3 linked regions of the Mus musculus genome follow. The protein of the gene in region 3 purifies or fractionates together with the protein of the main gene of each other region. This does not show direct contact. Links are inferred from orthologs where the notes say so. Each region holds a gene or a part of one and is shown on either strand. Other genes may lie near its edges.

Region 1 (4,105 bases), on a different chromosome or scaffold from region 3:
AAGCTACTTAAAAACATATTTAATTACACATGTGATATATCACCTTATGGGATTACACAACTGCCAGTAAGAACTCATTGAAGCAAAGCATATCTAAAAATATATTTAAAAGAAATTTCTGTGGCAAAACCTCTCTTGCTAAGAAATGTAATTATATACATTTATACATTTATAATGTGTAGAGTTGTTCTAATCATCCTGGCAGGTGTTAGAAATCCTGTTCTATAGTGAATGCATTTAGCCAGGCAATGAAGTAACTATTAGACATTTTATCTATTTTTAACTAAAAAAAAATAAAAAATAAAAAAATAACATATTACTTATTCCTGTTATATAACAGGAATGGATGTTCTTTAAAAATATATGTAAGCACTGCTATTTTTTTATTTATTATAAAGAAAATAAATAATAAAGTTGGGGCACTAACAATTTAATTCGATAAGTCAAGAAAATAATGAGATTAACTGAAATCACTCACAACCCAGGACCCCACATTCTATTCCTAAAATTAACATAACATATATTACAAACCTCTTTCACTCAAGGGCTCGAGTGTTTCAAAGCTGCCCTGTCCACTGTCTACAGGACTGTCTGCTGCTTCTTGTGAAAGAAGTTTTAGATCGTTGACTTCCAGGTTAACCTAGAGAATGAGAATAAACCTAGCATTAACAAGGAGGAGACAGAGCTGAGTATATATGGGGACACACAGTGTGGGGACATCAGCTGCAACTGGGAAGAACCAAAACGGGACAGTGTAACACACAGATGACATTTAAAGTCACAGACCAAAACCAAAACCAAACACACACAAACCGAGACTAATTGCTACAGGATACTAACTGAACAGCTCCATTTACTTTTATTAAACACATCGATTGCACAAATCAGATTCGCTTGGTTTTTCGGGTTTTTTCAATTGAAAAGAAGATGTATTAATTTTATAAGTGTTTCATCTGCATATATGTCTGTGCACCATATTCATGAAGTGCCTGTAGAGGTCAAAATGTTCATGAGACACCCTAGAGCCGTAGTTACAGTCATGATGTGGACACTGGGAATTGAACTAGGATTCTCTGCAAGAACAGCAAGGGCTCTTAACCACTGAGCCATCTCTCCAGTCCCTTTTAAATTTTTTTTTAAAAAGATTTACTTTGTTTATGTGTAGGAGTATTTTCCCTGTATGTATGTAAGGGCACTGAGTGCAAACCTGATACTCATGAAAGTCAGAAGAGGACACTGGATTCTCTGGAACTGGAATTACAGATGGTTGTGGGTGACAGGAACCAAATCCAGGTCCTCTGGAGGAGCAGCAAGTGCTCTTACCAGATGAGCCACCACTCTAGCCCCCCTTTTCATTATTTTGCATGTGTGTGTAGGCACATTTAGAGAGGGAGTGGTGTGCTATAGAGCACCGAAGGAAGACAGAGGACAACTTGCAAAAATCTAATCTCTTCTACTAGGTGAGTCCTGGGGATAGAAGTCACGCTGTCAGGCTTCAAAACAAATGTCTTTATTTATGAGCCATCCTTCAGATCCCACTGTGATAGTCACACACACACACACACACACTCACTCATGTCATAATTGTGCTCACATACCATTCTTCTAACTTTGCCTCCCTGTCTTTGTCTCCTACTTTTATGTTTGTTTTCTTTCTTTCTTTCTTTCTTTCTTTCTCTCTTTCTAGTAAGAGTCAGCAAAAGTGTGGCTTATGAAGTCAGCCACCTTTTGAAAATAATGTTATTTAAATTAAGGCTTTTTAAAAAAATCCTAGTGAGGCAAAAAGACAGGTTGGTGCACAACGAGATCTTGATTAAAGTCTGTTATTTTGTTCAATATCTAATCGTGAAAACTTCATGTCAAAATAAGGCTTTCATAGCCAGGCGTGGGGGCGCACGCCTTTAATCCCAGCACTCGGCAGAGGCAGGAGGATTTCTGAGTTCGAGACCAGCCTGGTCTACAGAGTGAGTTCCAGGGCGGCCAGGGCTACACAGAGAAACCCTGTCTCAAAAAAAAAAAAAAAAAAAAAACAACAACAACAACAACAACAACAAAAAGGCTTTCCTTTGGTGATTAGGTTTTTCTGGTACCCCCATTAAATCTGTTCTTAAGGCAACTATTTGGCCCTAGTCCTGGCTCCAGAAAAGAACACAGATCACGGAAAAGGTTTTCTATGGCCAAATTCCACTAGTGAGTCACCAGCTACTGGAAGGACGCTGTGAGCCAGGCCACTGTAGGCAAAGACTGTGGGCCCACGCGCGACACCCTTACAAGTTCCTTCCAGAACCAGAGTTCCAACTGCTTATACCCCTCACCCTGTGCTTACAGAGACTCCCACCCCACAACTTCCAGGCCAGGCTGGCCAAGGCCTTTTTTTTTTTTTTTTTTTTTTTTTTTTTTGTGGGGATGCTGTAAAGGGAGCTTGCGCGGCAGGAAACGCGCCAAAGAGCAAGGCGGGCTGCAGTGACAAGCTGAGGACCCGGCTGGGCGGACAACAGCGCGCGCCGCCGAACCAGAAGCTGTGGGGACTGAGCGCGGGAAGCCAGATGGAGACCCTCCAGAGGCCCCCAGACTCAGTCCAGTGGTCTCGGAGCGGTGCACGCCGGGAATTGTAGTCCTCCCGGCTCGGCGCTCTGGCCCTGCTGGGTTGACTGTCCCACTCGGCCCTCAGCGAAAGGCCTCCACAGCCCGGACCAGAGCCTAAACTCACCTCAGAACCCACCTCGCCGGTCATGATTCCGGCCTCCCTTCCGCACAGCTCCAGGAGAACGTGTCTGCAGTAACCTCAACTTGACGGCGACAGCTCCCGCCGTCTCCAGCTCGGCAGCGAAGTTCGAGCTTTCGCGCCCAGACGCGGTACAACGCTCAACCTTGAGGGTTTGCACCAATCCGAGGGAGGGTTTCCCTCCGAGGCCCCACCCCTATCGCCCTGCCAATCAGGAGGCGCCTCCTGCCTGCCCGGCAAATGTAATTTGCGTTGGTTTGGCGGGTTGCGGCTGCTCTTGTCAAACAGATCTAGGAGTGGCTTTGGGGTGTCTGGGGGTTCTCGGGGAGCGAAGAGATCCCGCGCTATGGCTTAGAAAGAAGGTATCTTGCGAATGATGTTCTTGGACTTTTGACCTATGTCTTCGTTCGATGGGTCGTACCGTATGCAATTAGAGGAGAGAAATTTCAATGCAGGAAGTGAACTGGGAAGAAGTTCCCAGGATTCTGGGAGTGTCCCACACCTGAATTTTTTGCTGAGGGAACCTTAGACCCCAGTGGAGGCTTTCTCCATCAGTTCATCCCTGGAGCAATCCTAACCTGCAGAGTTAATGTTTTTACCTCTTCGGGTCGATTCTCTGTCCTTTCTTCCCCATGTTCTATAGGCAGGCAAGAATGTCCTTTCTGGACTGTATTGTCCCAGCTGACTTGTCTTTTGTCTTCTGAATGGTCAAGCCAGTGTTAAAACTCCTTACAAAGTTATTATAAAGAGACCAGCTGGCACAGGGAAAGAAAGATCTGAGTATTTATTATCCTCCATCCCACCCAAACCCCCCTCCTCTCTAACTCCCCCCACCCCCCTTCACCTATTCTGGTATGGTGACCAACTCTGTCCAGTTTGCTTAGGACTTTCCCAGGTTTAGCACGGAAAACCTCACATCCCTAGAATCTCCTCAGAGGATACGAGGGATGACAGTCACCTCTGACACTGGTCTCCCCTTTATCTGAATACACATTCAGATAAAAAACAACTCCATTTCTCCACATCTCCGCCCACTTCTACACCCCTAAGGGTCTTGAGCTGGGGATGCAGCTCAGTAGTAGAGCTCTTGCTTAGTTAGTTTGCATGAGGCCCTCCCTGGTATAATCTCCAGGCTTCCAAAAAATACAAAAAAGAGTCCCATCCTCATATTTTACCCCCTTTTTAAAAAAAAAAAGGCTATTTTACTATGACCGTATACATCAATGATTCACAAATATGCATCTATCTGTAGCACTTCCTCCAGCATTTGGAGGACTGACTTTTATTGGCCATACAGTTTGTGACAAACAATGGGCAGAATTTTATAATCATCATTCTCTTAATCTTTGGAGGAAGCGTGTAAGGGAAGTAATGTGATCG
Region 2 (3,648 bases), on a different chromosome or scaffold from region 3:
GTAACATGGCTTTCACTGTTGGATGGAACTAGATTATGTGATAGGAAGACTGGCTGGTTAAAAATAACTTTCTTTTTTTCTCCTGGAGGAAAAGATGTTAGAGCAAGAAGAAAATGGCTTGTTTGAAATACCAGATTATGAACATGTAGAGGATGAAACTTTTCCTCCCTTCCCACCTCCGGCCTCGCCAGAGAGAGATCCTGCAGACGCTGAACCTGAGGAAGGTCTGTATCAAGAATGTCACAAAAGTATCCTTTCATTTGGTTGTTGTTTTGTTTTGTTTTGTTTTGAGCAAGATTTCTCCATATAGTTCAGTCTGTCCTGTAGACTCTGGAGATCCAACTGCCTCTGCTTCCCAAGTTCTAGGATTAAAGGTATGAGCCACCAAGCTTAGTTGTTGTTTTTTTTATTATTTTTATTTATTTTTTAAGGTTTGTTTGTTGGTTTGTCTATTTTATGAGTGCACTGTAGCTGTCTTTAACACACCAGAAGAGGGTATCAGATCCCATTACAGATGGTTGTGAGCCACCATGTGGTTGCTGGGAATTGAACTCAGGACCTCTGGAAGAGCAGTCACTGCTCTTAACTGCTGAGCCATTTTTCCAGCCCTGTTTTATTTATTTATTTAAAAATTTTTTAGAAGATATATTTATTATTATATGTAAGTACACTGTAGCAGTCTTCAGACACACCAGAAGAGGGCGTCAGATCTCATTACAGGTGGTTATGAGCCACCATGTGGTTGCTGGGAATTGAACTCAGGACCTCAGGAAGAACAGTCAGTGCTCTTAACTACTGAGCCATTTCTTCAGCTCCCTGTTGTTTTATTTTTATGTATGTGAGTACACTGTCACTGTCTTTAGACACACCAGGAGAGGACTTCACATCCCATTATTGATGGTTGTGAGCCACCATGTGGGTGCTGGGAATTGAACTAAGGGCCTCTGGAAGAGCTCTTAACCACTAAGCCATCTCACCTGCCCTGTATATTAGTTTTTACGACAAAGAGCGTGTTGACGCATACCTTTAATCCCAGCACTCGGGAGGCAGAGGCAGGCGGATTTCTGAGTTTGAGGCCAGCCTGGTCTAGAAAGTGAGTTTCAGGACAGCCAGGACTACATAGAGAAACCCTGTCTCGTAAAACCAAAAAAAAGATAAGAGCTCACAGTGTCTCCCAGGCTAGCCTTGCTCTGACAGTCCTGCTGTACCTGCTGAAATGTCCCACATAGTTCTGTGTCAGATTAGCCTAGAAATGGTACATTTTGCAAATGATTAAAAAAAAAAAAAACTGACTGGGTGGTGGTGGCACATTCCTTTCTTCAATCCCAGCACTTGGGAGGCAGAGGCAGGAGGATCTCAGTGAACTTGAGGCTAGCCTGGTCTGTAGAGCAAGTTACAGGACAGCCAGGGCTACACAAAGAAACCCTGTCTTAAAAAACAAACAAACAAAAATAACTATATTTATGTATTTGTGTTTATCTGAATATATGTGGGCACACAGGTGCTACAGTGTGTGCATATGGAGATCAGAGGATGATTTTTTCTTTTTTTGGTTTTTCGAGGCAGGGTTTCTCTGTATAGCCCTAGCTGTCCTGGAATTGACTCTGTAGACCAGGCTGGCCTTGAATTCAGAAATCAACTTGGCTCCACAGGACAATTTTTAAGTACTAAATTTTGGTCTGTTTACTAGGATCAGGGAGTGGAGTACCTGTTCCGCCAAAGAGAACAGTTAAAAGGAATCTACCTAAGCTAGATGCTACGAGGTATGGGCATTTACTTTGATACATTTATAGATTTCTACACAGTGTTTTTCTTTTACTATCACGGTCTTTGGTGGGTGATTTAGAGTTCAGATAGAGTTCTGTAAAGATTTTTTTCTCCTTTAAACTTTTTCTTTTCTTCTTCTTTTTAATGATTGTATTTATTTATTTTATGTATGTGAGTACACTGTTTCCAGACACACCAAAAGAGAGCATCAGATCCCATTACAGGTGGTTGTGAGCCACCATGTGTTTGCTGGGACTTGAACTCAGGACCTTTGCTCTTAACTGCTGAGCCATCTTTCCAGCCACATAAGATTTATTTATTTATTTTATGTATACGAGTACACCATTCATCTCTTCAGACACACCAGAAGAGGGCATCAGATCCCATTACAGGTGATTGTGCCACTGAGTGTCAGCCACTGTGTGGTTGCTGGGAATTGAACTCAGGACCTCTGGAAGAGCAGTTAGTACTCTTAACCATTGAGCCATCTCTCCAGCCCCTTGTCTTTTCTAATTCAGGAGGAAATATTTTTTTTTCATGGTCTTGGTTTTAATATGGCTAGAAATTCAAAATGTTTCTCTTCACAGATTGACTTCAGAGAGAGGGCTTCCAGCCTTAAGGCATGTGTTTGATAAGACGAAATTCAAGGGGAAGGGTCATGAGGTAAGAAATGCTTGATTGATCTTTATTTTTTAGCAGTGGGCATCGATTGAATCCAGGGCAAGTGCTAGAACCCATGCTAAACAGTATTACTGGAGTACATCCCATCCTGGTTTATTTTAGACTTTTATTTATTCAAAAAAATTTTGAGACAAAGTAGCACTATGCAACTCTGGCTAGCTGTGTCTTAATAAAAGTGCCATATATTTAATTGCTTAGTCCTCAGGGAGTAGCAATATTAGAAAGGATTAGAAGGTTTGGGGAGGTGTGGCCTTGTTAGAAGAAGTGTTTCACTGGGGTGGGGCTTTGAGGTTTCTTAAATGATTTCTTTGGTAAGAGTTACCTTTACCTTGGTCATGATTTCTCTTCACAGCAGTAGAACAGTGACCAATATTCTAGCCCTGAGCTCACAGAGATCTGCCTTTGTCTGCTTCCCAAGTGGTAGGATTAAAGATTTGTATCATCACACCTGTCTTATTTAGAGCTTTTCTTTTTTGTTTTTGCATGTGTTACATATGTAACAGATGTGCAGCTTGGTTTTCATGTGGGTCCCAAACAGCTGGAGCAGGGGCTATCCCAAAAGCTGTTGCCTGTACATATAATATGTTCTTCTAGCTGGACTGCTTTTTCTGGCCTCAGTGGGAAAGGAAGCTCGTAGCTTTGTAGAGACTTGAAGTGCTAGGATGTGGGGATACCTATGGGGCCTCAGAGGAGAAGGAGGAGAGGAGGGGTAGAGGAAGGTTGTGGAAGGGGATGAACAGGAAGGGGCAAGTGAGTGGGATGTAAAGTGAATAAGTAAAAAAATAAATTAAAAACAGGAAAGTGAGATTTTAAAAAAAACCCAGTGAAACTGGGTTGATTATGTTCTTTAGAATCTCTAAGAATGCCGGGCGGTGGTAACGCACGCCTTTAATCCCAGCACTTGGGAGGCAGAGGCAGGCAGATTTCTGAGTTCAAGGCCAGCCTGGTCTACAGAGTGAGTTCCAGGACAGAGAAACCCTGTCTCAAAAAAACAAAAAACAAAAAAAAGAATCTCTGAGTATATTACAGAATGAAAAAAAATATATACACATTTTATATATATATATGTGTGTGTGTGTGTGTGTGTGTGTGTATATATACATATACACATACACACTGAATATATAAGCTGTTAATCATCACCTCTAGAGAAATAGCTTCAGTGAAATAGAAAGGGTACTTGGAAGAATTAAGAGAACA
Region 3 (3,648 bases):
TAGCTGTATAGATGGTTGTGAGCCATCATATAGTTGCTGGGAATTGAACTCAGGACCTCTGCTCGCTCCAGCCCGGCTTGCTTCAGCCCAAAGATTTATTTATATAGGTAACTACACTGTTGCTGTCTTCAGACACACTAGAAGAGGGTGTCAGATCTCATTTCAGATGGTTATGAACCACCATGTAGTTGTGGGATTTGAACTCAGGACCTTAGGAAGAGCAGTCAGTGCTCTTAACTGCTGAGCCATCTCTCCAGCCCCCAGGACAAGTTCGCTCCTACTCGGAAGGGAAAACACAAACACTGAGAGCTATTCATGGGCCTTGGATAGAACACAGCCAGGGCACGCATCACCTTCCTCGGGTAATCCCCCATCCCCACCAGGGCTCCTCGGGCCACACGGCGGAAGCACATGGCGGGGAGTAGAGGACTAGTATAAGTAAGGCCCCACCTGGTCTCGGAACATGAGGGAGATGATCTCCAGCACATGGAGGCTCCACTGCTGCTCGGCGGATGAGCTGGACAGGAAGAGGAGCAAGTCGTCCATGCCACTGAGGTGAATTGCCCAAAGGAGACGGTCGTGGATGCTGGCATCATCATCGATACTCTGAGCAGGTGGGGGGTGGGGGTGGGGGGACATGACAACAATACAAACACACACACTCAGCTCCACTCAGGACAGCCTCCAGAGTCCCCAGCAGCTCACTCTGTGGCTAAGGCTAGCCCCCAGACTCGTAGAAGACAGAAAAGCCTAAGAGAGGGGAGTTCACCCTAACCAGTGCAAGAACTCCGATGTTCCCCAAACCCTCTTCACCTTCTCCTGCTCAAGGTTGGCCGGGACATGGAGAATATTTCTGACCAGCAGAAGGATCCGCTCGATCAGCAAGTTGTCTTCTTCTTGCCGATCCTCCCAGCCCTGGGCAAAAGGAGAAAAGACTGGCTCTAAGACTGAGCCCTGAGAATTGGGACTAAAAAGAAGGAAAAGGTATGGAGAGATGGCTTAGTGGTTTAACAATGCTCTCAACGCAATCGTGATGACTAGGAGTTCAGACCCCAGCACACACTCAATAATCCAGGAAACATCCAGAAAAACATCTGTCATTGTTTATGGCTTCTATGTGCACATGAACACACACACACACACATACCCCATTAGATAAATTTCTAAAAATACAAACTAGAAATAAAGAGCAGGCATGGTGGCACAGTTCTTTAATCCCAGCTCTCGGGAGGTGGGGGGCGGGGGGAGGCCAAGGGGGGGATGGGACAGGACCACCTCTTAGTTCCAGTCCAGCAAAATAAGAGTGGCTAGAAGCCAGGCGGTAGTGGCTCGAGTTTTTAATCCCAGCACCTGGGAGGCAGAGGCAGGCGGATTTCTGAGTTTGAGGCCAGCCTGGTCTACAGAGTGAGTTCCAGGACAGCCTTGGCTACACAGAACCTGTATCTCTAAGGGCTGAGGACCTTCCCAGGTTCAGCAGAGGTAGCGGAGGTGAAGTACTAACTGGCACATGGGATGTGTGTGATGCAGACTCACTCACCAGCTGTAGCAATTCATACAAGGTCTCGCTGAGGACTCCAAATGCCTTCTCACTGGCAAAGGCCTGTGGGACAGGGAACAGTCTCGTAGGTAGCGCCTACCTTGTCTTTCCTTCCTCTCCAAACACCAACCCAGGACCTCTGCAGAAAGGCTTCTCACCTCTTTGTAGGCTTGCAGGTACGTTAGAACCTGCAGAAAATGGTGCCGTACACTGGAGTCCTTAGGCACGCTGCCAAAACAGAGCAAGGCTGGCTGTGTCAAATTTACCATCAGCCTGGGGAGACAACGAAGACAGAGTGGTCAGGTTTCCTTGACAACTCGGACGCCGCCCGAGATAAGAGTCGAAAGGCTGAGGAGTGAACCTGATCACGGCATCGAAGAGAGGCTTGTCCTGGCGATGCTGCGTGAGGATTGGCAGGAGGTCGCTCTGCAGGATCTGTGCAGCTCCCAGCTGCTGCCGCACATCTCGGGTCTCATCCTCGTGCCTCAGGTATCGGATCAAATCCTTCACACTCTCTTTAGAGGACAGGATAAAACACTTACCCAGAAGGAGCTGCCTAGCCCCATGAGTTGTTTGTACCCACGGCCAGGGAAACTCACCAGACCAATTTGGTGAAGTTTTTTTTTTCCTTCCGATTCCTCAAAAGATTACTCACCCAGGCAATCCGGCTCCTTGTGGTAAGTCCCTCCTTCCAAGTACCCAAGGGCGCTACACGTGGCTAGAAGTTCACAGTTCATCATGTACAAGTCCATACACCAGAGGCCCAACCAGCAGAGCGGGCAGTAGAGATGGTGGACGGAGAGGGTGAGGCCTACGGGACTAGGAAGAGGGATGTCCGTGGTAAGGAAAATGAACAAGCTGGGCTTGCACTCAGGACCCTTAATGGCTTCGCTTCTGTCTGAGCTAAAAGTGCTGCTCCCAGGCCGGGGAAAACATTTTTTTTTTTAATATATAAACTAATCAAACCCAGGGAGGCTCCTGTGCACAGTGGGCACGTGCTCTACCCGAGCTACATCTGCTAGCCCCAGGGAAAGCTTTTTGTTAAGGCTGCTTTCTAGTTGACTAGAAAGCAGAGAAACTCCAGTTTAGGAATTAAGGCCTGGGCCACACTACAGCCAGATCCTGAAACCAGAGAAACATGGTTCAGAGTTAAGACAACCCGGTAGGAAGCCAGATCAATGCTGAGATGTTCACCTTGGACACTCTGCAGCCTTGGGAGGGTTAGACTGAATCCTCCATCTTCTACAGCTTCCTCATACAGCCCTAGTCTGGATATACCACAGGAGTTAGGAGTCACAGCTTTGGGCTGGCGAGATAGCTCAATGGTAAGGAAGGAAGCTTGCCATTGAGGCTGATAACCTGAGTACCACAGAACCCACTTGGTAGAAGTAGAGAACCAACCCCCGCAAGTTGTCCTGACTGCAAATGTTCCACTCCCTCCGAAAGATTTATAAATGTAAGAGCTGGGGGTCCAGAGGTATAAATGTGTGCTTGTCTCTCTCCTCTCCCTCCCTCTCCCTCTGTGTGTGTGTGTGTGTGTGTGTGTGAAGGCCAGAGGTCAATCTGATATCATTCCTCAGACACCCCCACCTCATTTTAAAACAATAGCTCTCAGGGGCTGGAGAGATGGCTCAGTGGTTAAAAGCACTGACTGTTCTTCCAAAGGCCCTGAGTTTGAATCCCAGCAACCACATGGTGGCTCACAACCATCTGTAATGGGATCCAATGCCCTCTTCTGGTGTGTCTGAAGACAGCTACAGTGTACTTATTTATAATAATAAATAAATCTTTGGGCAGGAGTGAGCAGGATTGAGCGAGCAGAATTTAAACTGTAAATTCAGTTCTCAACAACCAGATGAAGGTTCACAACCATCTGTACAGCTACACAGTGTACTCATAGAAATAAAATAAGTAAATAAATCTTAAAAAGAAAAAAAAAAAGAAAGAAATCTTTGAGAAAAACAAAAAACCCAACAAAACAATAGCTCTCACTGGGACTGGGGTGTGGGACTTGCTGATCAGTGAGCCCTAGGAATCTTCCTGTCTCTGCCTCCTCAGCAATGGAATTACAGCCACAAACCACAAGCCTGGTTGTTCTATGAGTGCTGGGG

Evidence for each region.
Region 1: the proteins of Timeless (region 3) and Clspn purify together in Homo sapiens (affinity purification with western blotting; 4 studies listed by BioGRID). This does not show direct contact. The link is inferred for Mus musculus from reciprocal best matches to the Homo sapiens genes TIMELESS and CLSPN.
Region 2: the proteins of Timeless (region 3) and Tipin purify together in Homo sapiens (affinity purification with western blotting; 6 studies listed by BioGRID and IntAct, counting the BioPlex papers as one, with this or other methods). This does not show direct contact. The link is inferred for Mus musculus from reciprocal best matches to the Homo sapiens genes TIMELESS and TIPIN.

What each region holds. Positions count from the first base shown.
Region 1 is NC_000070.6:126,555,743-126,559,847, reverse strand, and holds the start of Clspn (claspin), read right to left. Parts: upstream 2,869-4,105; 5' UTR 2,735-2,868; coding exon 2,711-2,734; intron 641-2,710; coding exon 532-640; intron 1-531.
Region 2 is NC_000075.6:64,288,020-64,291,667, forward strand, and holds part of Tipin (TIMELESS-interacting protein), read left to right. Parts: intron 1-88; 5' UTR 89-94; coding exon 95-224; intron 225-1,690; coding exon 1,691-1,763; intron 1,764-2,354; coding exon 2,355-2,430; intron 2,431-3,648.
Region 3 is NC_000076.6:128,238,542-128,242,189, reverse strand, and holds part of Timeless (protein timeless homolog), read right to left. Parts: exon of another isoform or gene 2,732-3,648; intron 2,357-2,731; coding exon of another isoform or gene 2,290-2,356; coding exon 2,193-2,289; intron 2,053-2,192; coding exon 1,899-2,052; intron 1,811-1,898; coding exon 1,696-1,810; intron 1,601-1,695; coding exon 1,538-1,600; intron 916-1,537; coding exon 814-915; intron 607-813; coding exon 451-606; intron 1-450. UniProt on the Homo sapiens protein: Plays an important role in the control of DNA replication, maintenance of replication fork stability, maintenance of genome stability throughout normal DNA replication, DNA repair and in the regulation of the circadian clock.